4 linked regions of the Struthio camelus genome follow. The protein of the gene in region 4 purifies or fractionates together with the protein of the main gene of each other region. This does not show direct contact. Links are inferred from orthologs where the notes say so. Each region holds a gene or a part of one and is shown on either strand. Other genes may lie near its edges. The genes, in order: HNRNPR, MRPL1, nuclear cap-binding protein subunit 1 and YBX1.

Region 1 (7,301 bases), on a different chromosome or scaffold from region 4:
AAATAATTTTGCTGCTATACGTGTGAGAGACTCTGCTCCTTGGAAACCTAGGGTTGAACTGTTTCCACAACAGCAGAAAAGGAGATACCAGCTATGGACCGTGGCTGCTTCAGTGCTTGTAGTTTGTTGCAGACTAAAACATCGCCTCCTGTTTGTATTGGCACTGGGGCTGTATGAATCAACTATCTCTAAGATGGTTATAGGTCTCTGCTGCCCTGTTAAGGGGTGATTTCCTGGTAGCAGTGAATAAAAGCACAAGTAGGGGACTAAACATTTATCATTTGATAGGGGAGGATTGCAAGGAGGATATAGAACCAGGCCTGGAGAAATTCCTGTCTTCCAAGTTAGTGGAGTTCAGAACAGGAGTTCTGGAATCCAGTGTGACAGTGGAGGACAGGGGGCAGTTGTCTTTTAGAAACCATTACTCCCTAATTGTCAACTATTTTGAGGCAACTCGGGTGCTGAGCGCCAGCACTTGGAGCTGATATTTGAGATGTGTTAAGACTGTGAAGATGATGCTATGCACAAGCTTCTTCCCAAGATGCTTAATTTGGGCTGCATCCTGCACAATCTGATGGAAATTGCTAAGACTCCTTGGCTGTGGGGCAGGGGCAAAAGCAACGAGAGAGAGAGAGAGAGAGAGAGAGAGTCTGAAACCTTGCCTCTAAATTGATAGGACCTGCTCAATCTGCTTGCATTGACTTGTATTACCATGAAGGAATGAATTCTAGTAAATAAAATTGCCTCCCTTTGATGTATCCAAGGTCTTCAACAAGCTGTTTTAGTGCAAGGTCCGCAGGTTACCCATTCTGGTTTCTTTGGGCTGTTTTGTCACTCTAGCCCTCCCCACTCCAGAACAGACAGGGGAAGGAGGTATGACAGAGCAAATGCTTATATTTAAAATGTATTATTTCCCTAAAATCAAAGACACTGGCTCTGTGCAAGGCAAAATAAACTTATGTGCAGAAATTAACAGGGTAATACTAGCAGCATGGCATCCCTAGGCAGCCATTTTCCTGAGCATTTCCCTGCTTTAAGGAGTGGAACTTGTTGGGGGCTTCCTCATTGATAAATAAGGACTGTAGAATGTCCGTGAGGCAGCAAGTTTTGTTGCCTGTCTTTCCAGATTGATGCAAGCCAGCTCCCTGCAGCAGAGATTAACCACCTTCTTGGTTCTAAGGTGGTCTTTGTTCTGCCTTGCTTTGGCCCAGGAATAGTTCAGGTCTTGCGTGCATCTGTTTGTTTTCAACCACACAGAGCTGTAAATAGCATAATTCCAGGAATTTCTAGCAATATCTCTTTGAAATTACTCTTTGTTCCAGACCATCTAGGACCTCCTTTCAGGCCCAGCTTGCTGGCTGGCACTGAACTCTACTACCTGCAGGCCATAGCTTGTTCCTGTCTAGAGATGTTCAGTGTTTAGATCTTTTTGGTCGAGGCTATTGTATGGAGCACGAGACCAAAAAGCTGAACAGCTGCCCAAGCACATGCAGATGCTAGCGGGGGTAATAGATATACTGGAGTGATGTACCAGAACCCAGTCCAAAAGCCAAGGGACTAGAGATATCTACAGCCAGCATGAAGCTCTAGTACTTCTATACTAGATGGCAATACAACAGCAGATGCTCTCTTCTCATGTCCAGAAGCCTCTAACAGTCAAGCATCCAGAAGACCCCCCCCCCCCAAAAAAAAAAAAAAAAAAGAAACCACCAAGGAAAGAACCTCCATGGGTGAAAATGGAGAGAAGGACCATCTTCAACTGGGGGAAGAGACTGGTATGATTCATCATAGGTTGATAACCACAAACATACCAGCAGTTGTGGCTTCATGTCAGAATTAGGTCAGATCCATTACAGCAGCATGCATCACATCGTAGATGATTTTCATGCTGTTTTTGCTGTTCATGCTGTCAAACCATGTTTAATTACAAATTCTATCCTATGAACACCAATTTATGGCTGAAATTAATAATCTCCTAGCAGGAAAATAGCATGCTAAAGTCTTGTTCTGGCAAAGACATGGCAGGCTTAACACAATATCAATATGAATTCTGATTATGAAATGAGAACTACCCAAAAACCCCTACCCCACCCCAAAGCCCATAGCCTGCTAATGCTCACAACTACCTGCATACAATTAATTACCCTTGGAAAACACCCATGCAGAAATGATGAAAAAGTGCCAAATTAAAAGCCTTAAAGGCATTTCTGACAATGACTACCTTAGAAATCTTCCTGATTCTTCCTGAATCTACCAAGATTTGGTAGTGCTTAGCAACTGAAATTACTTTACTAAAAGTGTACCTACCTCAATATAAATTTTGCTCTAGTCTCATCATGTTCAGTTGTCAGCTAACAGTAGGTATGTTAGTACTCTGTATTTCACTCCTGGATGCGACATCATAAGATATTTTGAAGAGCTTTGCAGAATGTTTATTAAGCACCACTGAAGTGACAGATGTGCATGTAAACATCCCTCAATTTCTCTCAAATTTTGTGCTGGGAGAACTCCTTAAACCTATTATTCTTGACTCCCAAACAGTCGGATCAACTGCTGCAGTGAACTTGTATGGATGAAGCAATGAATAATGTTCCCTTGCATCTTTATGCCACACTAGACCCTACCTTCAACAAAGAAAAGCTGTCACTGTTGCCAAATTTGGAGATAGAATTCATAGAGCCAGTACAGGTTTCACAAGAGAACAAGCATGTCTGCCATGAGACAGGTTCAACAAGATAGACTGCTTACCTCTGATATCTGTATGAGTTCACTTCTGGCTTCTGGCTCAAAAAAAGCTTCTTTCATTTACAGCAGGTAACATGTACAGTTTTTATCTATGTTCCATTTAAGGGCGATGGAAATATGCACACTTAATACATTGCACAGATACATGCAGTCTTCTGAAGAGTGTCACTTTGTCATTAAACTGTTGGAAGAACCTTCTGAAAGCATGAGAGGCTACTGTTTTTCTTTACTTACCAGACTCAAGAGTGATGGTTCACCTGGCCATCTATGTACATAGATGCTCTGGATTCACTTTCACACAATATTCTGGGACTCACCTTGACCTCAAAGCACAAAACAGTTATTCTCATGTCATGCAACTGTAGGCTGAGGAAATGGAAGTCAGCACAACACTTTGTGGCCTAGGAAAAACAACATCACAGCCAAGAAGCTGACTTCCCACAGAACTGTGTATTTAATGCATCAGGTCTACACCCATCAAATAGACTGATCAAGCAGACAGACCAGGTAAGCAGGCAAGTTACATATAATCACAGATGAATTATCTAGAAACCAGCATACCTCACACAGATATCCTTTCAGGGAAGGCTCTGAACCAGGATTCTTGCTGCTACACACCTTTCCCTCTTTACTCCGGACCTGGAAGCCAAATCTACTAACGGCCTCAGATTAACTTACCAGTAATATCAATGCAGGCTGGCTCTCATCTCCAGTAAAGCTTACCAGTCTTTCCTAGCATGGCCAGTGGCTTCACCCGGCAACAAAAAAAAAACCCTACAACTGACATATAGTGCTGTGCTAAACCTCATGCTATCTTAGCTAGCCAGCAGGACTTTACTGGATAGACCTACATGGCCAAGGAAAAACTACTGGAGCAGCAGGATACGGACAGCAAATTCTTCAAGACAGAAAAGCAGCATTTGCACAGAAAGCATAATTTAACAAGAAGCAGCCTCCAGGAGAGGCAATACTAGGGCCCTGGTCCCTCATGCATGAGGCAGGCCTCAATCAGAGCCGTTGGGCTGAGGCAGCAATCCCTCCCGCAGGCAGGGCCCGGGCCGCGCTGTGAATTCCTCACACGCGGCCCCCGGGACACCCACCGGCCTCAGGGCTAGGATTAACCCCGACGGGCAACGCCTTCAGCCGGTGGCTGTCTGCCCCAGGGCCCCAGTCACCACCCGGGATGAGCCACCTCGGGCAGCACCCAGCCGCAGGCCCTGGCGCGCAGGCGACGCCCGGCCGCCGGGGGCGGGGCCCGGCCGCAGGCGCGCGAGGGCCCAGGGCGGGACGCCCCCCGCGCACCCGTCCCGCTCCCTTTGTTCGCAAGGCTACGGGCGGCGCTGCCCCTTTAAATCCCCCCAGCTCGGTCCCTGCCGGCGCGCCGGGCTGAAAGCGCGGCGCGATTGGCTATAGAGCCTCCCTCTCATTGGCATCTGGGAATAGCTGCGCCACCCGCCTCCCGCTTCTCATAGGCGCTGCCGGCTGCCTGTCTGAAGTGCGAGTCCCTGAGTGGGTGAAGCAGCGGTCCCTGGAAACAGTTCCGGGAAACCCCGCGTGTTGCCGGGGTCGCGTCGCCGTCCATGAGGAGAAGGAGGAGCGCGCGCCATTTGCCGTCGCTGCTTGGGCCCGAGCTGCGCCGCGCAGGCCCCGCTCCGGTTAGTCTCCGGGGGGTGCCGATGGTGTCGGGGGGCCGCCTCGGTCGGGGGAGGAGGAGCGGGCTCGCGGGCAGGCCCTGCGGCGGGGTGGCAGGCGCGGGCTCCGCCTAGGCCCGGCGTTGACGGAGGCGGGCCTGGGGCGCCCGCGCCGCGTAGGCGAAGCGGGACTGCGGCGCCGCTGGTGCCCGGGCACGGTGTCTGCTGCGCAGGCCCCGGCGGAGCGGGCGGGTGGACCGCGCGCGGGAGCGGGTGCTGGGGAGCGGCCGGGGGCGGGCCCTATGGCCTCGGGGGGGGGAGGACGGCCCGGCGGCCCGGCGCGGGCCCTGCATGGGGAGGGCAGCGCGGCCGGAGGCCGCCCTGGCTCCGCCCGGCCTTGCGGATTAGCCTTGCATGTGGCTGGGGAGGAAGCGTGGCGGGAGCTGTTCTTGCGGTACTGCTAACGATGGCTGCCGTGTGTCCCTCTGCGCTGGGAGTTAAGCCCTTTCTCGATCCCCTCTTGGGCAGTGTGGAAAAACAGTATTTTAACAGCTCAGACGCCCTGATAGGCAGCTGTCGTGGTTACTGTCCGATCTGTGCCGCATTATGCGTGTGGGGAATTGGAAAAGACTTTGACAGAAAACGCATCGCTGTTGCCAGCGCTATGAATAACTCTCTGAAATCTTGTAGAGCGCATTTTGATACTGCTGGCTGTAGGGAGGGAGAACTGCACTGCATCTTCTCGCAGCTCTCAGGTTGGCACTTAGTATTTTGTTTGAGACAGTAACACTTGCTAAATGCTCTGAAGGAAGCATTGTTGCAAGGACATTGGTTTTCTTAAGTGTTCTTTACCAAAAGATCTTTACCAAACCTTAAACGAAGCCTTTTTTAAATCCCCCTCCTTTTTTTTTTTTTTTTTTTCACGTGGTTCTAGTTACTGGATCTTAGCGACCTTGTTACCTATTAATTCTTGGACGTGGCTAATCATATACTTGAGCTGTACTGGACTAAGCTTTTCTTTGAGGAAAGTTGCTTGCATTCCGCCCACCCCCCAGTATCTCACTGAAGGATCCTACCAGCATGATATTTTTGGGCTGCAAAGGGAGTTAATGTATATGAAGTTGTTGGGTTTTTTTTTTTTTGTTTAAGATTATACTTTGTATAGCACTGAATTATTTTATGTGTCTTCTAAAAGTAAAGACCATCTAACCAGAGTTTTACAGTGTAATTTCACTATGTAAACTGTAATGTTTGCAAACTAGCAGAGGCTAGATGACATTTTTCTATCTTAGAAACTATATTTTTCCATGAGTGTTTAATATCCTTACCTCTCAGTTTTTTATCTAGATGTGATCCCTATTGGGATAATATTTGAGCCTCCCACTAATACTCAATAGTTTTGTCGAAAGAAGCAATGCTCCCTGCTCTCATAGACAAAGATCTGCAAAACTTTCTAAGGACAAGTTCATCAGAATAATGCTCACTTTTGCTGAAGTGTTGTTTTGAACTAGAATGTTATGGACGTTGTTCTGTACAACCCAGACAATCAGGTGAGCCATAAAAGGCCAGCTCCAGGTAGAAATTAGGGTACGTAGATTTTTATAGCTCAGGTTAGCAAAACGTGGTAGGTACTGAATCAGTCAGTGCTGTATTTTAATGGCACTGATGGCTTTTGTGCACATTGCTAACCTGTTGTGGTAGAGTCATCTCTTGATGGAGGGACTGCTTATACTTGCATAGGTAATGAAGCGTAGTTTCTGTGGGGACTGTGCTAGTCTTTTGGTTAGGATAATGATGGAGGTTCTCAGGTTTTTTTTTTTTTTTTTTTTTTCATTCCATGGCATTATGGAATGGGAAAGACAAAACTGTGCTGGAGGGGTGAGGGTGCTAACTACTCATCGTTGTAAAGGTAGTCTGTCAATGAGATGCTGGTAAGAAAACTTTGCTAATGTGTAAAGGCCATTACTTCTAAAGATGTGATAACTTCAAAACAAGTCTTCTTATATGACATACTAAAATGTTCATTAGTATGATATAATTAAACTACTAAAATACGCTTTCCGTGATTGAATAAGCTATAGTTGAAACGAAATGGCTATAATCCTCGCACAAAGAAATGTTAAGGGATATGCTAGTCACTTTTGTGAACAAGTGAGGTTTTAATAAACTCCCAGTTGAGTTTCCTAATCTAAGATCCTTTCTTCCCCTTGCTCATAAATTTCTTCGTGTTTTGACAGAAACCTTAAGTGCAAGACTGATGATATTTTTCTGGGGACTAAATTTGTTTTCTTGAGGTTCATTTAAAAAAAAAAAATCAGACTCAGTCTAACATCCCCCCCCTCCCCCAATTCTATTTTTAATGTAGTCTAATTATTGTTTTTTCTCTTTAGACCCTGCAGGCTATGTATTCAATAGGAGGATTAGTAACATAAGCAACTTGAAATGGCTTTGGTGCAGAGTTTTTATGTATGACTTATGCTTCCTGTCCACCTTTGCTAAACAAGTACAGTTTAGTTCCTTTGCAAAATCAAAGTTAAACAGTAGAAGGCTGAGAACCGTATTGTTGGATAATCACTGCAAAGTTGGTTATAGTAGTTTAAAATATTATTGTCCTTCTGCCAGAAGTTTCCATTTCTGCTCATTTAAGCTGTTACTGAACATGTTTTGAATTAACTAGACTGAATTTATAATTAATTGGATGGAAGTATGCTCAGCTAGTCTGAGGGTGGCAGCCTCTAGAGGGATGGTATAAAAAATAGGAGATAATAACACTATGGCGGTTTCATCAATGATTATCTGTTAAGGGCTGAGATCAAGTTTCTGTTTTAATATGCCAAATGCTATCATGGTCAGGTGTATATTAATTCATTTTTTCTTGGTGGAAAAATACTATTTGAACCATTTGAGTTGTTTAAGCATGGGGGA
Region 2 (7,477 bases), on a different chromosome or scaffold from region 4:
CAGCCGCCAAAGAAACGGAGAGGGCAAGAGATGTCACCTAGCACAGAGAGATTCACCGTGCTTTCTCTGATTTCTTCACACCCATGTCTTCTGAAAAACTTTAGAGACATGAATCCAAGCCAGGTAACCAGACAGCAGTAAGGCACTCCCTAAACAGCCAATCTAAAAATTAGGGTCTTCCAGCTTAACTGGAATGCCATGCCAAGGTAACAACTCTGCTCTGAATTCGAAGCCAGTCTGTCACACAGACCAGGAGCGGAACAGCTGCTACTACAGTTGTGAAGGTAAGTAGAAGCATCTTCCAGGAATCACTGAGGATGCCAGTAACTCTTTCCTGCAGTCATGTAATTTGGTACATGCATGAACCCCAGAGGTTCCAGGAAACAGAGCATAAAATAAGGTAAAATAAGGTCCTTTCTATGTATTTCTTCCTTCTCTGTATATACTTCCCTTCCACTGACTCTTGATTTAAAAAAAAAAAAAAACAAACACACACCCACACCCACAAGTGGTGTACATTCAGCATTCCCAACCGTAGCAGCAAAACCATCACATGGGAATAAAAAACAGCATACTTCCAAAGGGCATGACTAGCAAAAAAGAACAAGGTGTGGACAGAGATGGGAAAAATGTGTTTGTCTTTACACTTCTCCCCATACCAGTTATTCCCACCAATACCAGTAAGCTTATAACTACAGAGCTATCAAACACAGTATGGGTGAAAAAGCATTGGAAACATTACAGAAAAGATGCATGTCATGTTATTAAAAATGAGCACGTTTACAAGTTAAGTTGAAAGCCCTAGACAGACATAAAGCTTATTTTGATCACTTCTGCTTGGACTTGAGTTGCAGTCACAGGACAGCCTGTCTTCAGATGTGTTCATGACTCCATCCTCACTCCATGAATCTGAGGGATGTTTATTGCATACACGTGGGTCAGGACTCAGTGTCACCTGCAAAAGTGCTTAATATTCTGACAAACAGGGAAGCTGCAGGAGACAGCTGAGAAGGCCAACATCAACGTTTACACTACACTTAAAACACACCCTTGCAGCGTTGACATGAAAATTTGTAACCACTTCCTATTTACCTTCTTCTGTAATGCCATATCCAGAGTTATGTTAACATACACATACTGTTTTGGGTAAGTGAAGTCCAACTCCTGAAATTTCTTTAGCATACCCACAGCCACTTCTACATCATAGGATGGCCGCTCATAACACCATGTTAAGTATACATCATCCACTGGCTTGCTCATCAGCGGCTGTCTGATAGTTCTCTTTTTCTTTTTTGTTTCTTCCTGCTTAGGCTTCTGTGAACTTTTCTTTGCAGTTCTGAGACAAAGCAAATAAAAAAAAAAAGACATATTAGCTCATCAACCAAAGCATTTGGCACATGTTCCAAAAGCAACAGATACCATCATGTGTCAGTTACTGCCTAATCATTAGTTACCATGATAGGCACTGCACACAGAACCATGAATAACATGCCTAAATTAAGCTTAATAATGCCTTCTTTTCAGATGTCTGAAACAGAAATCAAACATTCAAAAATGAAAAGCTGTGAAGAGAACTAAGCACCACAAACAGTATAGTCACATTTGTGCAGCACCCAATCGAGTCAATAAGCCCTTAATGTATCAAAGCAGAACCACTTTAAGACAACACACAGACCTTTACAGGTCTTGCCCCAACAGGGCTTGTACCAGGCATTGTGCCTGGGTTGCTTCCGAATCTCAGTAAACCCTACACACCTTCCCAGTAATCAGAAAAAGGCCCATCAGCTGTGGTGCAGGTTTTGCCCCCCCCCCCCCCCCAGTGCAACACAGCAGTCTTGCCTTCGCTCACAAGGGAGGTTCTTCCCTTTCCCCAGATCGTTCTATACATGCTTAATGAGTAGAAGCCCCAAATCTTTATTTTGCTACCTATTTTAAAACACTCGCAAACCAACAAAAACAAACAAACAAAAAGTTACAGGAATAGAAGAGTACTTCTATTTGAAGAGCTCTCTGTTCCAGTTTGAACTATAGCGAAGAGGTAACAACACTTCAGAACACTTCACGTGCAGTATGCTTCACTGTTCTGCACACAGAGTTAATTTTTCCTTCTTCTACTTATGCAGTAGTGTCATACTTAAAGAAACAGTAAGCAAAGCCGTGAAAAACAGATGGAAGGGAAAAGATGAATTGTTTGAAACCAATTTCCTAAGCTCCCTAGCTTTCATAGTGACACTATCCGTTTAGCTGTAATTCAGCCATACGTTCTCAAAAATACACTACCAATAAATGGAATAAGTCTTTCCCCAGAGCTGTTACACATGGTATTTCAAGAGCATCAGTAAAACCCTCTGAGGGGCCCCAGCTCGGCTGTTCTCCCCCCAGCCCGGCTCCCTGGTCGACAGCCGCCCGGAAGGAGCCCCTAACGCCGGCTCGGCCGTTACAGCAAGGCCCGAAGCACCACCGCGACCCACCGAGGCGCCCTTACACGGGGTTTTAGGGGCCCGCCCCGCTGTCGGACGGAGACGCACTCACTTGGCGGCAGCGTAGGGCCTGCCGAGCGGCGGGGCGGCCGGGAGGCACCGCTGGAGCCCGAGAGGAGGCGCCCCGCGACGCGGCGCCAGCACTGCGAGAAAACGCAAAAGGGAAAAAAAAAAAACAAACGCCTCAGACGGGCCCGGGGCCTCCCGCGGGCAAACGCCAACAGTCGCCCGCCGCCCCTCACAGCACCAGCCCCCACCCCCACCGACCAGGTGGCTGCCGCAGGCCCGAGCCTTACCCCCCCCCCCCCCCGTTACAACCGCGAGGCGGCCGAGCCCCATCACCTCGCCACAAGCAGCGCCCGGCCGCCCCCGCCGCCGCCATCTTGCCGGGCCGCCGCGGTGCAGCGCGCAAAGCGGTCCCCGGCGGCGGGCGGAAGCGCCGCCGCGGTGCCACCTCCATAGCCGTCCGGCGCAGCTGGCCCGAAGCCCTGGCCGCGAGGGCCGCGGTCGGCTTGGGCCGGCCCAGAGCGCTCGCGGGGCCGGGGGGGGGGGGCGGGGGCGGGGGCGGGACAGGGCCCTCCGCGCCTGCAGCGGGGCTGTGAGTGAGTGTGAGTGTGCGTGTGTGAGCGTGAGTGTGCGTGTGTGCGTGAGCGTGTGTGTATGAGAGTGTGTGTGTGAGTATGAGTGTGTGAGAGTGTGTGAGTGTGGTGACACAACTCTGTGTGTGCACGCGCGTGTGTGTGTGCATGTGTGCGTGTGAGAGAGTGTGTGTGTGTGTGTGGTGACACAACCCCATGTATGTGTGTGTGTGGTGACACAAACCCATATGTGTCTTGTGTGTGGTGACACAGCCCTGTTTTGGGGGGGGGGAGGGTGAAACAACTGTGTAGTGACACAACCGTGTACAAGTTCTGACAAAACCCCATGTGTGTGGTGACACAACCCCATATGTGTGCACGTGCAGACAAAACTGTGGTGACACAACTCTGTGTGTGTGTGTGTTGACTCAACCCCAGTGTGTGTGGTGACACAACCGTGTCTGTGTGTGTGTGTGGAGACACAACTGTGTGTGAAATGCTCCTGTGTGTGGTGACACAACCCTGTGGGGGGAGTGTGTGACACAACTGTGTGTGTGTGAAATGCTCCTCTTGTGTGTGGTGACACAACCGTGTATGTGGTGACACAACCGTGTCTGTGTGAAATGCCCCCGTGTTTGCGCTGACACAACCCTGTGTGTGTGTGTGGTGACACAGCCCTGTGCATGGGGGGGTGGTGACACAACTGTGTAGTGACACAACCGTGTACATGTGTTGACACAACCCTGAGTATGTGTAGTGACACAACCCCATATGTGTGTGTGTGTGTGCAGACACAACTATGTGGTGACACAACTGTGTGTGTGTGTGCGTGTTGACACAACCCCGTGTGTGTGTGTGTGTGTGTGTGTGTGTGTGTGTGTGTGTGAAACGCTCCTGTGTGTGTGGTGACACAACCCTCTGTGTGTGTGTGTGTGTGTGTGTGTGTGTGTGCAGACACAACTATGTGGTGACACAACTGTATATGTGTGTGCGTGTTGACACAACCCCGTGTGTGTGTGTGTGTGTGGTGACACAACCGTGTGTGTGTGTGAAACGCTCCTGTGTGTGTGGTGACACAACCCTCTGTGTGTGTGTGTGTGTGTGCAGACACAACTATGTGGTGACACAACTGTGTATGTGTGTGCGTGTTGACACAACCCCGTGTGTGTGTGTGTGTGTGTGTGGTGACACAACCGTGTGTGTGTGTGAAACGCTCCTGTGTGTGTGGTGACACAACCCTCTGTGTGTGTGTGTGTGTGTGTGTGTGTGCAGACACAACTATGTGGTGACACAACTGTGTATGTGTGTGCGTGTTGACACAACCCCGTGTGTGTGTGTGTGTGTGGTGACACAACCCTCTGTGTGTGTGTGTGCAGACACAACTATGTGGTGACACAACTGTGTATGTGTGTGCGTGTTGACACAACCCTGTGTGTGTGTGTGTGTGTGTGTGTGTGTGTGTGTGTGTGGTGACACAACCGTGTGTGTGTGTGAAACGCTCCTGTGTGTGTGGTGACACAACCCTCTGTGTGTGTGTGTGTGTGTGTGTGTGTGTGTGTGTGTGGTGACACAACCGTGTGTGTGTGTGAAACGCTCCTGTGTGTGTGGTGACACAACCCTCTGTGTGTGTGTGTGTGTGTGTGTGTGTGTGTGTGTGTGTGTGTGTGTGTGTGTGTGTGTGTGTGCAGACACAACTATGTGGTGACACAACTATGTGTGTGCATGTTGACACAACCCCGTGTGTGTGTGTGTGTGTGTGGTGACACAACCGTGTGTGTGTGAAACGCTCTTGTGTGTGTGGTGACACAACCCTCTGTGTGTGTGTGTGTGTGCAGACACAACTATGTGGTGACACAACTGTGTATGTGTGTGCGTGTTGACACAACCCTGTGTGTGTGTGTGTGTGTGTGTGTGTGGTGACACAACCGTGTGTGTGTGTGTGAAACGCTCCTGTGTGTGTGGTGACACAACCCTCTGTGTGTGTGTGTGTGTGTGCAGACACAACTATGTGGTGACACAACTGTGTATGTGTGTGCGTGCTGACACAACCCCGTGTGTGTGTGTGTGTGTGTGTGTGTGTGTGGTGACACAACCCTGTGTGTGTGTGTGTGTGTGTGTGTGTGCAGACACAACTATGTGGTGACACAACTATGTGTGTGCGTGTTGACACAACCCCGTGTGTGTGTGTGTGTGTGTGTGTGTGTGTGTGTGTGTGTGGTGACACAACCGTGTGTGTGTGTGTGTGAAACGCTCCTGTGTGTGTGGTGACACAACCCTCTGTGTGTGTGTGTGTGTGTGTGTGCGCGCGCAGACACAACTATGTGGTGACACAACTGTGTGCGCTGACACAACCCCCGGTGTGTGTGAGTGAGTGTGTGTGCGCGGCCGCCCGCCCCCGCCGTTGAGAGCGGAGCCGCCGGGCCGGGCCGGGCCGGGCCGGGCGCCCCCCGGGCCGGGCCGGCAGCGCGGAGGCGGCGGCCTCCTCCTGCCCCCCCCGCCCCGGGCGGCCCCGGCATCGCGCCGCCGCCCGCCTCCCGCCGCCCCCGCCCCCGCCCGTCCCCACCTCCCGCTCCTCCGCCCTCCGCGCCAGCCCAGCCGCGGCCCGAGCCCGCCGCCGCCGCCGCCGCCGCCGCTCCCGTCCCGGCCCGGCCCGGCGCCGCTCCCCGGCGGGCCGCCGCCTGCATGTCGTGGCTGCCCGCCGCCCCGCCGCCCTGCCGCCACCACCGCCGCCGCCGCCGGCCCCGCCGCCGCCCCGCCGCGCTGCATGCAGGTGAGCGAGGAAACCCCGCCGCCATGTCGGGCCCCGCCAGCCGCTGCCAGCACCGGGGCCAGCACCCGCCGCCGTGTGCGCGGCGGCCGCGCCGCCTCCTCTGCGCCCGGACTGTGCGGGGTAGGGGGGAGAGCCTCCCCCCCCCAACCCCCAAACAGCGGCCCCCCGGGGGGCGCCCCAAAATGGGGGGCGAGGGTGGGGGTGGGGGGAGGGAGGGAGGGAGGGAGGGAGGGAGGAAGGGGCCGCGGCCCCCCCCCCCCCAGCCCGCGCCCGAAATGGCGGCGCCCGAGCCCGGCGCCACCGCCGCCTCCCATCGCGCTATAGGTCCCTTGGTCTATAGGTTACAGACGTCTCACTCGGCGTCGGCCCGCGGGGAGGGAGAGGCTTTTGGGCCGGCAGCGTGCCCGACCCCCCCCCTTCCCTCCCCGCCCCCCCCGCCGAGTCGAGGCTCGTTTTGTGCCCCCCCCCCCGAGATGCTCTTATCATGGCTTTTTTATTTTCTTTACCCCCCCCCCCCGCCTCCCTTAACCCACCTCTTAGTAGGGCTAAAGACGTCTCGCCTTCCGTAAAAGCGAGCTCGGGCGCTAGCGCTTGTAAATAACGCCTACGAACGCAAAGCGTGTTTTGGTTTTTGTTTTGTTTTGTTTTGTTTTTCAGCAGATTATTTTATTTCATTTTATTTTTAACTCGCGTACCCTTGGTAAACACGGCAGAGGCCTCGGCGGCTTTCTGGCTGTTGAACAGCCGCACCGAATTTTATCTGACCCGCTTAAAACCTCCGGGCGAGCAGCCTTTTATCTGCCGGTTTTTGAAACTTTGAGCAGACGGAAGTGTTCGCTTGCGGAGTTAGGACTTCTCGTCGCCTGGCCCGCTGAGGAGGGTTTTACGCGGAACGGAGGGCGGCCTCATCTAAGCAGAGGGTTTTCTTAAGATGGGATTTCTGCCTGCGTTAAATTTATACCTGCATCATCCTCGGTCTGCAATACTCTGTTTTCAGCTTAGCACAGATTCGTTCCCCGGCAGCCTAAAACTAACCTGGAGGGGAAAACACCTGATACTGAAATCGCTCACAGTTACACTTTTGGTGTGCGTAGACATGGTTGGTAGTGAAAACGATGGCAACATGTCTGTTCTTAGCCTCTGCCGCTCCTTTGGGATGTTTTTGCCCCGGTACTTACAAAAAAAAAAAGAGAAAGTACATTATTTCTAATAACAAAGTCTTTGCTGTGACAAAAGTCAGGGAATTCCTAGAAGCTGTATGAGAGTCTGGAGTGCCAAAAGCTTTGACAAAGACGGGGTATGGCCTTGACAAGTATAGCGCTGTCGCTGGTTTTGTTTCCGTATTGTCCCTATCAAAATACGAAGCGATGGTGAAGCTCGTATTAACAACTGTTGATCTTCCAAAACATAGCCTATTTTAGGTGCAGTCACGTGCTAGCGGCGCTTCAGAAGAGCGAAAGGCACGCTTCACATCTGAGGTTTACTTTGTGCTGCGTACGAGCACAGAGGCTCGATCCGACTTCCTGTACGTCGCGTTTTTTGTTTCCACAGCACTACGCTTCAGACTGCTTGATCCCTTATTCAGGGCGAGCAGGGTAGCGGGGACTCTCGTACTGTAAGCAGCTGCCTTCAGCTTTCCTTTCCCACAC
Region 3 (6,976 bases), on a different chromosome or scaffold from region 4:
CATTCAGCTGCTGTGGGAAACATTTACTGTTTGATTTATGTTTATGAACAGTGCTACAAAATGGATTTGAAAGATTCCATGCAGCTATAACACAAGCTGGCACCGCATCCTCCCCCAGCGTGGTATACTATTGTGGACCCCACACAACCCTCTCCTGGGACACGTGACCAGTGACCCAACACACAAAGAAGTTTTGTTTCAGTGCTTTGCTAGGGAGAAGAAGGAGTGCTGCTAGCCAAGGAAGGAGCCTACTTCTGGCTACTTTGTCTCTCCACTACTAGATGGTGGGCTCATGGAGACAGGAGCACCTCAGCCCCAGAAAAGGGGAATAGGCAAAGTAGGAATACAGAGATAAGAACTGGCACTCAATCGATTTGGTATTTTTTTAGTGACTGTTGCATTCAGAAACAAGATACTACCCAGCATATTCCCCATGGCAGTCAGAAAGCAGCTCTGGGGTCTACTCTATCTGCTTATGACCTTGTGCACACATTTCAAGTGAGAGTACTGTACAGAGGCATTTTCCTTGATTTATATCTACTACTGACTAAGCTTCTTCTCAAATTTCTCTTGCCTGGAGTAAGACAAACCCTAAGCTATAACAGTGTTCAAGAACTAACAGCTCTTCACAGCATTTAAAGTACTTAAAATACTTAAACTTATCTATTTAATATAGATAACAGAGCATCTCACAAATCTCCTGCATACGTACACAGTACAAAGAATTCTCAAAATCTTGCTTTTATAGTTTGGTAGATCAGCTTCCAAGACACCAGCTAGGCCCTCCAAGTTGCTCTCCAGAGAGGAAGTACTCTAAGAAAGAAAACAGTGTTTCCGCATCAATCAGGCATATCAACTATCCCCTCAGTAACAACTGGAAGACAAGCAAATCAGATGAAACAAAATATTACTTCACATTTTCTTCTTGTTGGAAGTAATTATTCAAATCCATTAGGAATGCACAATCTCTCTCATTTGCTAGAAATAAGAAGTAGAAATGACTAAGAACAGTCTCAATTGTGAGTTCTCCACAGCAAGGAGCTCTAGTGCTTTCCTGGGAAGCAAGGGTTAACATAGCCTCAGAGATCTCTCAATAACTGAATTAAACATTATATTAATGACATCAGGGGAAGTGAAAGAACTTCACAGCTTGTATGTGGCTAAATTAATGTTAAGACCCATCATTTTTGTCCTCATCCTTTTTTCTCTCCACTTGTTACTAACACCAAACCCAGCCAGGTTCCAAGATCAGTTGTAACACGGCTAGACTTTTTTCTTTTTTTTTTTGTACGCATCTCATTGCTTTCAAATTTTCCAAGGAGTAGGGGGAAATTAATGATAATGTTCACAGATTTTGAATGATACCTCTTTATTAGTTATACTTCACCAATGTATCAAAGGTTTAACATTTAAGAATTTCCTTTTTAAAAATCCAGTTTTGCAAAGGCCAACAATTTTCCAGTTAAAAAGTTTCCAACTGATCTCAGATAAGGATTTTCTCTTTTTGGACCACTAGTGAACTACTAACACATAGCAGCATATAAAACAAAGAAAACAATCTATTATGTTTAAGGACCCTAAGCCACAAAACAACATGGAAATAGTACTGATACCTTTTCTCCCACCCTGCATATTAAAGATTCAAGTCTCTCCTCGATTTCAGATGGCTCAGATGTTCTCCTCCTTTTGTGAGGTTGCCCTGTTTCAATACATTAAATATGTTATTAGCTGCCTGCTTTTTAAAAAAGAAAAAAGTTCTCTATATACTTTTGCCATTCCAGCAACATACTATTAAAAACAAACAAACAAAAAACCCCAAAACTGACAAAGCATTCAAGATTGACCCAATAAACATGAAAAACAGAAGTATACCCATATTACTGATGACCTAGTCCATGAAGCATAAACAGTTAACATTGTAGCTATCTCAAATTTTATTTAGGGTTAATTCTGCATTTCTGCTACAGTGTGAGACAGTATATGTGGGATAAGCTAAACCCACATTAGAGTTACCAGCTATTTCATATTTCCTTAGTGCTTTTTCACATGCTTTCAGCATATGAAAAAATAAAATATTTTAAGAATCCTTGCTTATATTATTAGGGTTTTTTTGAAAGCTTAGAAAAAGACTGCACATCAAAACAATTAAGAAAAAAGAGTGTAGTTAAAAAACACATAGAGTGTTTTTTAGAGTGTTTATCTTTGCAATTAAAAGTTGAAAAAGCTGGTCATGAAACTGTCCCATTCTCCACTAATGCAGAATTACGTTATTAAAAGAAACATCCGTTTCAGTTTCTGAAGCCGTCTCTAGTCCTCCAATATGAATGTTTTCTGAACGTTTTTCATGAAAGCCTTTACAAGATACAAGAACATGTCCTTCTGGCGATCCGTACGCAGCGCAGCGTGCTCCGATCAGTTTGCTACTCCCTATATTTAGGGCGGACCCAAGAGACTGCTTAGGGACAGTCTGTAGCCCTAGTTACACAAGCCAGGTCCTTACACCAGAGCGCCCCACAGTGGCGCCAGGTTGTCCCCAGCCAAACAGCTAGGAAAGGCGGCCCAGGAACGATCCTGCACCCCATGGAGCGCCTCACTACAGCGTCCCGTAGGGCGACGAGCAGGACCAAGTCCTGGCAGAGGGACAGAGTGAATCCCTACCACCCCGAGTCTAAGGCAAGGCAGCGCCGCGGGGGGGGGAAGGAGGAGGAGGAGGAGGGGAAAAGGCACTTCAGCTGAGATCTGTTCCTCCCCCAGCCCCAAGGACGACGCGGCCCCAAGCACAGGGCATGCGGAGTCCAGACCCTGGTACTCCATCCATCCACGCTTACCATCACTCTCGTCACTGTGCCGCCGCCGTGACATATCAGCACTGCCACTGCACAAAATCTGCAGAGAAGCAGGAATACCGTACCCCACAGCAGGAGGCAAGAAGGAAGAGCACTATATAGAGACTATGCAACAAGGATCAGAGTATTTCCCTACTTCCTGTTTGCCTCAGTCTTCTTCCGGGGTAAAAGAGCAGGAGGAAAAGCTACTGTCTTCTCTTCTCCTGACTTCCGCAACTCTATGGGAGTGGGCGCTGCTCTACCTGCTTCTCCATAGTACTAGGAACTCGGATGATTTCTAAAATGGGGAAAAGAATAGACACAAAGTTAGTTAATTATCGATGAAGTGAAATTCACTTATTCCATCTGGCTCGCACCTAGCCTCTCTTGAAGGCTAAGACGGCCCACCATGCGTGTGAATTGCGCACTGTGGGCCCCACTCTTGGGCTGTCTTGCTGACGCCTGGTGGCATGTATATTACCTGAGCCGCTGGATCGAGAATGCTGCTGGGTCCCTCCCACGAAGCGTTTCCAGGGCGATGGAAAAGTGATGGATGCAGGGATTGGGGAGATGTGTGATTCTCCCTGCTGAGTGAGATGAGATCTCAGACGTGGTACTTTGGGGTGCAGTGCTAACACTGCACTAAGCTTAAGCTCCTTCCCCCTCCCCCCCGCTGGAGACTGGCCCCACGCATTGGTGAAAGCAGGCCAACAAGATCCAGGTACAGCCGTATGCATCCCTGCTGTCCCTCTACAATCAAATGGCTGGAGAGACCACGTGCCCCTTTCTTCAGCCCCCATGTCATCCCCCAGGGGCATGGGAGAGCCCTGCAAGTACAGGGAGGGGTACCTCCTTGCTGCCTCCAGGAGGGGGCACCTGAGAGGTGGTGCCACGTCGGGCAGCCGAGGACTGTTGGCCACTGGAGAGGCTGTGTGAGGCCGGAGTTGTGATTCAAATGTAACGCTTAGTTGTCCCGAGGATGGGGAACAGGCACTGCTGACCTGTCATCAACTTGTGTTCCTGCACACCTTGATTATGCAACACATCAGAGCATTGCTTCCCTCCTGCCACCCTAAAGTAAATGGGGTACATTTCTCCAAGGCTGCTGCCTGGGATTAGCTGATTCTAAGGGAATGTGTGCCTCAGACTGGCTGGGATTGCACTGGGAAGTGTGCATTTCTGTGAGCTAAGCAGTCAGGGTCCAGTAGTGGTTTTGTATTGCCTCATTGCTGAGAGTCCCAGGAAACAACAGGTACAAACAGGAATGTGACGCTCCCAGGAAAACACTTTGAGAGAAAGAAGGTGTTATTCCTGAGGGGCTTGGTCTTGTCCTCAGTATGGAACGGTAGTGTCAGCCCTGCCTAACCTGGCCCTGCTTGCACCCCTGTTCCCAACCTTGGGATCCCTGATAGGTAAACTTGAAAGCATCAACAGAAACAGCATCTCTGATGGGCAACTATTTATTTACCCAAACAAGCTTATTTAAGTACCACATGGGTTATCAGGATTTCTCTTTTATCTAGCTTTGGGCCATCAAAACAGTTAATTGACAGGATCCAGGAAGCAACATAAATCCTAAGAGATTATATTTGTGATATGTTTCAGGCATTTTCCCTGTTTGTGGCTGACACTTCCTTTGCTCTGATAACTAAGTGCCCTGCATCCATCTTTGGAGATAGAGTATGGTGGAAGTGCTGCAAACATTTAAAGACCTCTCTAGTACTCACAGACATGTTGCTACACAGCATTCCACTGACACTGGGCAACAAATAAGTTTAATTTTAAGATGGTTGACGAAGCTAGTACATCATTGAGTAACCCAGCTTCTGCAGACGTGGCAAATATGCTAAGTGGGCACACTCATGGCAGTCCCAAGGTTTCTGGTAGGCTCCCAGACACAAGCCACATTAGCTTTGATGATCTAACAAGGTAAGAAAATCCCTTGACAATTTGAAAAACTTACTTGCTGTAAGCAGGCTTGCATCTGGCTCACATCTCACATCACCTTGCACAAGTTTAACTTTGTATTTTTTAAAATGAAATTTAGACAAGTGAAACTTAGAGGTATAGAAAAGACCTTAGCTTTAGATCTTCCTTTACTCAGCTGGTTTAGATCCCCTCTAAGATTCATCCAGTTTCCTTGAACTCATTCCTACTCTTGAGCACCTTTCACAACTGCTTACACCTGCACAAAGCATTACTGCTGTGCTGATACAGAAGCATTTGCCTCCACTTTATACTGGTATAATCAATGCCAAAGATGGGGGTTTTACAGGATCAAATCCCCAGAACTGTATTTTTCCTGCAGTGTCAAAGCAGACCTGTGCTAGTGTTGCTCTACACCTCATGTCCATAAACAGACACTCAGCAAGGAAAGCCAGCAACAGGAGGGAGTAGGAATAGTAGGTCATGCTCTACATAGATCGCTTTTCTCCTCCCTTGCAGGTATGTTAAGGGCTCCTCAGGTATGAATAAGTAGATGGAGAAGAATCTTCCTACACATGAGAGTCCAGCTTGTACTCCTCAGAATGCAACCAAAATCTATCCCTTTGAACAATTGGTAGCTTATAATTTAGATAATTCAAGTAATTGGATTCTAAGGATACAAATTTTTCAAATGTAGCTTTTAATGACACACTAATCACAGAATCACAGAGTAGTTGAGGTTGGAAGAGACCTCCAGAGAGCATCTGGTCCAACCCCCCTGCTCAAGCAGAGTCAGCAAGGATGGAGACTCCACAACTTCTCTGGGCAGCCTATTCCAGTGTTCAATCACCCTCACAGTAAAAAAAGGGTTTTCTTATGTTCAGATGGAACTTCCTGTGTTTCAGTTTGTGCCCATTGCCTCTTGTCCTGTCACTGGGCACCACGGAGAAGAGTCTGGCCCTGTCCCCTTGACATCCTCCCATCAGATATTTATACACATTGATAAGATCCTTCCTGAGCCTAATCTCTAGGCTAAACAATCCCAGCTCCCTCAGCCTCTCCTCATATGAGAGATGCTCCAGTCCCTTAATTTTTGTGGCCCTTTGCTGGACTCTCTCCAGTAAACCCATGTCTTTCTTGTACTGGGGAGCCCAGAATTGGACACAGGACTCCAGGTGTGGCCTCACCAGGGCTGAGAAGAGGGGAAGAATCACATCTCTCAACCAGCTGGCAACACTCTGCCTCATGCACCCCAGGATCCAATTGGCCTTCTTGGCCACAAGGGCACATTGCTGGCTCATGGTCAACTTGTGGTCCACCAGGACTCCCAGGTCCCTCCCTGCAGAGCTGCTTTCCAGCAGGTCAGCCCCCAGCCTGTACTGGTGCATGGGGTTATTCCTCCCCAGGTGCAGGACCCTGCACTTGCCTTTGTGGAACTTCATGAGGTTCCTCTCTGCCCAGCTCTCCAGCCTGTCCAGGTCCCTCTGAAGGGCAGCACAGTCTTCTGGTGTGTTAGCCTCTCCCCCCAGTTTAGTATCATCAGCAAACTTGCTGAGGGTGCACTCTGTCCCATCATTCAGGTCATTAATGAAGATGTAGAAGAAGTATTGACCCCTGGAGGACACCACTAGGGACTGGCCTCCAGCTGGATGCTCTGCTGATCACTACCTTCTGAGCCCATTTTCAATCTACCTCACTGTCCACTTCTCTAGCCCATACTTCATCAGCTTGTCTGTAAGGATGTTATGGGAGACCATGTCAAAAGCCTTACTAAAGTCAAGATAAACAACATCCACTGCTCTCCCCTCATCCACCAAGCCAGTCATCTCATCATAGAAGGATATCAGGTTGGTTAAGCATGATTTCCCTTTTGTGAATCCATGCTGACTACTCCCGATCACCTTCTTGTCCTTCATGTGCCTGGAAACGGTTTCCAGGATTAGTTGCTCCATCACCTATCCAGGGATCGAGGTGAGGCTGACCAGCCTGTAGTTCCCTGGATCCTCCTTCTTGGCTTCTTGAAGATAGGTTTGTTATTTGCTTACTTCTAGTCCTCAGGCCCCCTCCCCCCATAGCTATGACCTTTAAACGATAATTGAGTGGCTTCACAATGACATTGGCCAGCTCTTTCAACACTCTCAGGTGCTTCCCATCAGGGCCCATGGACTTGCGTCTATCCAGTTTGTTTAAGTGGTCCCTAATCTGATCCTCCTCCACCAAGAGAA
Region 4 (6,993 bases):
ATATTTGAAGCTAATATGCACCCCTATCCAAGCTGAACTTATCTGCAAGCAGACCCAGTTGAGGCAAAGACAAGCAAGATCAGGAGCTCTTGCAATGTCTTCCTTAAAGCAAGCCAGAGAGATTCCTGAGCTGTGGAAATGTCCTCAAGTTCAATTCTCAGACTGCAGCTCTAATCTCTCGATAACATGAGATCATGCTGGGTTTCTCATTAAAATGGCAACCTCAGGGATCAAACAGCTGCCAAATTAATATGAGTGGGAAAACTATTCAGATGTCTTAACTACCTGCTGTTACTTCCTTGCTTGACTCACATAACTGAGCATTTCCACCACTGAGTGGAACAGGAAAAAAGTCTTCCCTAGAGGTAGAGTTTGTGCCCTTTGACTTTATAGCCAGTTACAAACGTCACAGATGCTAAAGCTCGTAATACTGACAACTGTTCAATACTTAACATTCAAACTACACATGAAGAATGCATTTAACTTAAACTGGGCAGACTCAGAGTCAAGTTTTTAAAGTTACAGACACAAAACCAAGTAAGGAGCTTGGTAGATACTTAAGACTGGGTCACAAAGTAACACAGAGAGCTAAAAGGGCAATACTTAAAGCAAATCTAAATAAAAAACCCAATAAAATCCCCAATACCTTTGCTTGCATCCCCGAGTAAAGATTTCCAAGTCTTTTGCCAATTTCTGAAACATTTGTTTTGAGGGCTCACAGCTCTAATTACATCTTTCAACTTGTTTCAGTCTTAACTTGCTAGAGCTTACATGCAACGCTTATTCTCATTCGAGAGCCCTCTGTTTAGAAAGGCAAAAACAACCTATAGGAGGAACTACAGGTATCTTGTGGCTTACCCCATTAATTAAGTTTCTAATAGATGCTTCGCTCCAAAGGAAGGAAGTGGTATTAGGTGTTTAAGGACAATAGTTTTTAATATTATGGCCTCCAAAAAATAAACCGCACTGAAGCACTCCAGACTGGTAGAAGAACATTACATTTTTCCAGAACTGATTTGTAGAGCAATTCTAGCACACCTCTGCCAAGTCATCACTAGACAGCTCACTGCTATGTTAAGAGTTCAGGTAAACACCTCAAACTAAGCACTGAAATTCTCAAGTCAATCGCTGAATCTTTTAGGCATCTTTTTTTTTTTTTTTGAGAATTTCTTACATGCTCTAGTTTCATGATATAAGGAATGAGTTTTACACATTTCCCCAGGCATTCAGAGTTCCCTCAAGAGAGCAACTACCTAGTGTCTCAAACAATTGCTTGCATTGATGTTACTGAACTCTATACAGAAGCTAAAGAAATATTTTGTGCACATCAGTTGATTTTTATACTCTAATAGAAAAAAGGAAAAAAAAACACACATACACTTAATATAAGAGGTAGCACTACGAAAACAAATCCACTACATCCCTTTTGGTAAGAGCCTCGCTGAAGTGCTTTTAAAAAAAAAAAAAAGAACAAAACAAACACACAGTAAGGGTGAATGATCATGCAACAGAGGTAGGACACACCTTATCAGTTGCTCCTGGAAAGTGTCACCAAGCAGGCACTAGAAGTGATAAAGGTGTTTATCTGCAGCCCCTGGTGTTATACGAGCCTAGTGCCCCAGCGTAAAACAACCAGATATGAACCACGCGCAGCACGCACGTGTTACTCAGAAGTACACTTGATCTTGGGTCCAACGTCTGCTTGGCCCAGAGGGCAAGTCAAAGCAACGCTCATTGAAGAAAAAAATAGCACTAGTAATAAAAACAAAAAAAAAGCCCTCTCTCCACACACTCCAGCAAGAAACCCTGCTGCCCTCCTAGGACTTCTCAGGGGTGCTGGTGGGGGCAAGGGGAGCTCTTGTTAGAGTTCCCCCCCCCGCCCCGCCGCGCTAAACACCTAGGAAGGAACGCCAGAACAAACTGGGCGCGTGCTCGGGGCGGGGAGCGGGGACAGGAGAGCCGTTTCCCAGAGCAAGAACTCCCTCAGAGGGGAACAAAACTCCAAGCAAGCTGCCGAGCCCGGCGGCCTCAAGGAGAACCCCCCCTCCCCACCAAAACCCGCCTCACCTGTTGATGAAGCCGTAACCGTTCCTTACGTTGAACCATTTCACTGTTCCCAAAACCTTCGTTGCTGCGAGAAGAGGCAGAGAGAAAGAGCCGTAAGCTGCGGGTAGGCCCGGCGCGGCGGCCTCGCTTGGTTTCCCCCCCCCGCCCTTCACTACCCTCATCATCACCTCCCTCCCGCCCCCCCCCCCATCCGCTCGGCCCGCTGGAGCCGAACCGAGAGGAGCGGAGCGGGCAGGCCCGGCCCGGCCCGGCGCTGCCGGCGGCACGTGGCGGGGCGGGTCTCACACAAAGGGCCCCGCGTGGCGGACATTTTGAGTCGCTCCGCGCCCGCTCCGCCCCTCCCCTCCCGCCCCCACCCGCCGCCGCCGCCGCCACGCGGGGCCCGGCGGCGCGCGCGGGAGGGGAGGGGGGGGGGGCGCCCAACGGCCGCGCGCGAGGCGCCCAACGGCCGCGCCCGCGCGCGCGCGCGCAGGGGCTCGCGCCGCCCTGAGGGGGGAGAAGGTGGGGGAGGGGAAGGGGGGGGCCGCGCCGCGCCGCCCAGGCCCTCCCTCCCCACCGCCGCCGCGGACCCCTCCCCTCACCGATGACCTTCTTGTCCCCGCCGGCGGGAGGCGCCGCCGAGGCCAGGCCGCTGGCCCCGTTCCCGGTGCCGCCGTTAGGTTTGGAGTCGGCGGGGGCGGCGGGGGCCGCCGCGGGGACGGGGGCGGCGGGCGGCTGGGTCTCGGCCTCGCTGCTCATGGCGGCGGCTGTTCGGTGCGGACGGTGGTGGTGACTAGCTGTTTGCGCCGCCTCCCGCGGTGTGATGGTGACTGAGGCCGGCCGTTGGGGGGGGGGGGGGGCTGCTCCCTGCTCCGGGCTCGCTGAGCTCCGCTCTCCGCTCCCGATACCGATCGAACTGACCACAATGGCGGCCCGCACCGGCTAGCCACTCCGCACGCCCCGCCCCCCAGCGCGGCCATTCGCCGAGCGGCCTGCCCGTTCGGCAGCGCGCGAGCTCATTGGCCTTCTCCCCTCCACCCCGCGGCCGGCGCTAAAGCTCCTATTGGGGGAAGCACCTGCCCTTTACCAAAGCCGCAAGCCCATTGGCTGCTCTGGCTCGGAGCTGCCAGGCTCCTTTTTCTTGCCAGCCCCCTGGCGGGACCCGCCCCCGCAAGCGGATTGGTCAGCTCCGCCGTTGCTCCCGCCCCTCTCCCCCGGCCAGGCCGGGGAAGTGCCCGAGACCACGTGGCCGCGGGCGCCTCCCGCCGCCGCCGCCGCCGCCGCCGCCGCCGCCGCCGCGCCCCCTGCCCGGACCGGCACCGGGACCCGGACCCGGACCCCGTCCGCTGTCCCCGGTGCCGGTCCCGGTCGGTGCCCGTCGCCCCCGGTCCCAGACCCGGGATGTCACCGGACCGTGCTCCAAAGGACGCACCGGTGGCATTTCGCCTCGCTTGAAAAATGTGGGACAAAGTGAGCGGACGTGCTGCCCCCGCCTGCCGCCCTGTTACAAGAGCGAGATGCAATCCCAGCTTTTCCCCCGAGGCAGGCAGCTCCCATTAAAAAAATAATCATCGTCGTCGTCGTCTCAAGAAACAAGCCTGCGAGTGTTAATTAAAAGTAGAAAATAATGGATCTGGAGACACGACAAAGCTTTTTTCAATATATAATTATATGCAGTTAAAGCGTTATAATCCAACCTCCTGAGAAATAGCGTGCTCCCAGGGACCGCCGCGCTGCCGGATAACGAACTGCGAAAGCGCCGCGGTCGGCGTTCGAAGCGACGCCGTGGACCCGGTCTCGAGCCCCGCGGCGGGAAGGCGGCGGGCAGCGGTCGGCAGCTCTTCGCCGGCTCCCGCGGCGAGGAGGGGGGAAACGGGCCCGGCGTCGCCCGCCGAAAGGCGGGAGCTGCCCGACGCACCCTTCAAACCTGGTCGTGCATCAGCTCGCCCCCACCAAAGTCTCCTCGCCGGGCAGGGACTGCGGAAAGCGTCGGCGTGGGGTGTTTTATCTTCACGGAGCCTTGCTCAAATGACCATGTTTTGTCTCCATCCCTAATCTTTGCCTTCCAGCGGCTCAGAGCGATCCCAGAAAGCACCCGTTGGACTCTCCAAAAGGAAGGTGCAGGGAAAACGAGCCTCCTCGTGCGCCGAGCATCCCCCCGGCACCAACCCTTCAGCATCGGCTTTCCCCATCCCAGGGCCAAAAGGACGAGCCGGGGGCCGCGGCCGCCGACGCTGCGCCACAGCCGCCTGCGGGGCTCGGGTAAGGTAGCGCTTAGCGATGCCGATCTCCCGCGGAGACGTTACCCTGAAGGGAGGATTAATTCTCTGCTTGGCCACGTGGCAGCTTCGCCCTCGCTGAGCCCCACAGCCTTCGCCTCTCGAGGATTCAGCGAAGAGCCTGCTCGACCTGAAACGTCCGACGGGCGGACCTGGAGCCCGCGACTGCTCCCGCTGGTTCAGGCTGCCCTGCATGGCCGGCAATCTTCCATAGACAACGTGAGCGAGGCAGGGAGGGCACCTCAGTGCATACGTACCACAAACCTGGGTAATTAGAGGCCGGTCTGACGGCAATTCCCAGGCAAAATAAAGGGACGGCTGATACAGGCCTTGATTAACGGACGATTTGCAGAGAGCACTATAATTGCCGCCAGCCGATGGGGGTTTACGGACATAGATCTCATCAGACCAACTTGGTATCTTCTCCGTGAGATCTCCAGCTCTGCCAAGGCAGGGAAGAGCGTTAAGAGCACTTCTGCAGGGCATTTGCCTCAGTGTCACGACCCTGATTAAGAAACTAGAAAGATATCAAAGCAGGATGATGCTTAGTAATTCAATTAAAAAACATGTCTTAAAACGTAATGGCAAATGGGAGTCCACCAGGCAAGAGACCCTACAAGGACTCTTATTTAGTTAGTTATTTATCAGTTTTATCAAAGATTGGGAAGATGTTTTCAAATCCCGATGATAAAGCCTGCAAGGATGCAAGGGCCTTGCACCTACAGAAGAAAACGTGGCCTTCCCAATGGCTAGTGACTTTACTCCAGGACACGGCAGTCTTTGGGGGGGCAACACTGCAGGACCGAGAAGTTAATCTGATCCTCAGATGAGTAAAGAACCGGACTGCTCTGTGGACTGCTCTGTCCACAGTTCAAGGAAGATGCTGGAGCTCAGAGAGAGAAGAGTGATCACAAGATGGAAACATCTGCTCTACAGCGAGAGATTCCAGGATTTGCTTAGCATGACATGGCTGAAGGGCAACTTTGTCACTGGGAATTAAACCTGAAACGGCGGTATTTGAGAGCGCTTTCAACCTGCAGATAAGGAACAGCAAGATCCATAGGCTGGAAAGCTGAAGCTCGACACGTTGAGTCACAGACAGACATGCATTGTAAACAGGGGATATAATTAACCACTGGAACAACTTCCAAAGAGGTTGCGATGGATTTGCCACTGCTGGATATTAATTTGGGGAAGTCCTGTGACCAGCGCTATGCGGGAAGTGAGACTAGCTGATCACAGCGATATAAATACATCAGGCTGTGAAAGCACTGCTGAGCCTGGACCCAGAAATAGGCTGGTTTCCCTGGTGAAAAAGCACGGTGAATTTGAGTATCCACAGCCAGAACTGCGACCCTCCGCACTGCAGCTGGCGAAAAGAGCTCCCTGAGCAGCCTGGAGCTAAGCTCGTGCCTCAACCCCATGGGGAAGGGGTGTTTGAACACGTTCCCTGAGCAGGAACAACGGGTAAGTTTATGTCTTTTCAGCCACCACTACCTCATAGCTATTATCTGGGCCCAGTCTTCTCCTCCGTGTGGGGAATTTCAAACCCTCAACTCATAGGATAGAGCCCTAAGCCGTTTGTTTGGGCCTGGGGAGGAAAGGGATGGCACGCTTTATGTTTCCTTCATCCCCTGATGTACCACAGGAAGGAGAAGGTGAGATGACTCGGGCTGGGGAGGAGGGAGGGCAAACGTCCTCTGCAGCCAAGCAATCCCAGGAATTGGGACATGGAAATCCTGACAGCCAGAGCCTGCTCCAAAGACTTTAAATAGCCAGGAGATAAAAAGAGCACGCCAAAGCTTGCCTGCAGGATCTGTCCTCCGGTACATTACTGCCTGCTATCTAATACACCCAAGCAACGCACAAGCCAAGTGTGCAGACTGCTCCTTCCCGCACAATACACCTTAGGCAAAGGCCATAAAGCAGACTGCTGCCCAAGGAGTGACGAGGCAAATCAGGATGGGCTGGAGCCGTTGCACGTGACAAAAGAGACTTTGTCCAAGCTCCTTTATATTTAATCCGCCAGATGAGAAAACTCACCTCGAAGCTCATCCCGCAGCAGGGAGATGAGCTTGCAACCCTGGTCTCCGAGAGGAGGAAGGCAGTTTTCCCACCAGCCTGCAGCCCTGCCACCAAGGGGAACAAGGAGCCCAGATTTCTCCGCCTGCTGCATAATCACTCCCCAGATCCCAGCCCAAAGACCTGTTGTGCTCCCCGCTAAAAGACATGCCCTAAAACATATCATCCCCACAGCCTAGCACTGAGATATGCTGGGGAGGTTTTACAAATGCTTGTTTACAACATAACTCACCTCTGGCTTTCTATACCGCTACAGAGCCCAGCAAGCTCGTGCTGCTGAAGCCTTTGCGCCATACCTATTTCTCGTGCTTCGAGAAGGCTGAATGCAAAAGGTCTCTAAGATTGCTGGGATACCACGAACCTCTCTGCCAGGCAGCCTTATTTACCTGGTGGGAAAAGAGCTGGTGTAGCACAGCTCTGCCATGCTCCTTTCACCCCTTCAGACCCCTTTCTTCCCATTTCGTGAACGCCCAGCAGCAACGCCCCTCAATGCCACACACGAGAAACGTCCCCTACTGAACTGAACAGAGATAACGCACGTGGCTAAAGAAGCTATAAGCCCTGCTAGCCAGAAGAGTCCATTCCC

Evidence for each region.
Region 1: the proteins of YBX1 (region 4) and HNRNPR purify together in Homo sapiens (co-immunoprecipitation; 5 studies listed by BioGRID and IntAct, with this or other methods). This does not show direct contact. The link is inferred for Struthio camelus from reciprocal best matches to the Homo sapiens genes YBX1 and HNRNPR.
Region 2: the proteins of YBX1 (region 4) and MRPL1 purify together in Homo sapiens (affinity purification with mass spectrometry; 3 studies listed by BioGRID and IntAct, with this or other methods). This does not show direct contact. The link is inferred for Struthio camelus from reciprocal best matches to the Homo sapiens genes YBX1 and MRPL1.
Region 3: the proteins of YBX1 (region 4) and nuclear cap-binding protein subunit 1 purify together in Homo sapiens (co-immunoprecipitation; 3 studies listed by BioGRID and IntAct, with this or other methods). This does not show direct contact. The link is inferred for Struthio camelus from reciprocal best matches to the Homo sapiens genes YBX1 and NCBP1.

What each region holds. Positions count from the first base shown.
Region 1 is NC_090964.1:2,706,122-2,713,422, reverse strand, and holds the start of HNRNPR (heterogeneous nuclear ribonucleoprotein R), read left to right. Parts: upstream 1-4,291; 5' UTR 4,292-4,325; coding exon 4,326-4,400; intron 4,401-7,301. UniProt on the Homo sapiens protein: Component of ribonucleosomes, which are complexes of at least 20 other different heterogeneous nuclear ribonucleoproteins (hnRNP). hnRNP play an important role in processing of precursor mRNA in the nucleus.
Region 2 is NC_090945.1:6,149,162-6,156,638, forward strand, and holds the start of MRPL1 (large ribosomal subunit protein uL1m), read right to left. Parts: upstream 3,004-7,477; 5' UTR 2,941-3,003; coding exon 2,823-2,940; intron 2,624-2,822; coding exon 2,533-2,623; exon of another isoform or gene 2,486-2,532; intron 2,134-2,485; exon of another isoform or gene 1,993-2,133; intron 1,337-1,992; coding exon 1,093-1,336; intron 1-1,092.
Region 3 is NC_090981.1:12,383,283-12,390,258, reverse strand, and holds the start of nuclear cap-binding protein subunit 1, read right to left. Parts: upstream 3,018-6,976; 5' UTR 2,863-3,017; coding exon 2,829-2,862; intron 1,700-2,828; coding exon 1,614-1,699; intron 814-1,613; coding exon 713-813; intron 1-712. UniProt on the Homo sapiens protein: Component of the cap-binding complex (CBC), which binds cotranscriptionally to the 5'-cap of pre-mRNAs and is involved in various processes such as pre-mRNA splicing, translation regulation, nonsense-mediated mRNA decay, RNA-mediated gene silencing (RNAi) by microRNAs (miRNAs) and mRNA export.
Region 4 is NC_090962.1:12,631,877-12,638,869, forward strand, and holds the start of YBX1 (Y-box-binding protein 1), read right to left. Parts: upstream 3,007-6,993; 5' UTR 2,806-3,006; coding exon 2,649-2,805; intron 2,132-2,648; coding exon 2,068-2,131; intron 1-2,067. UniProt on the Homo sapiens protein: DNA- and RNA-binding protein involved in various processes, such as translational repression, RNA stabilization, mRNA splicing, DNA repair and transcription regulation.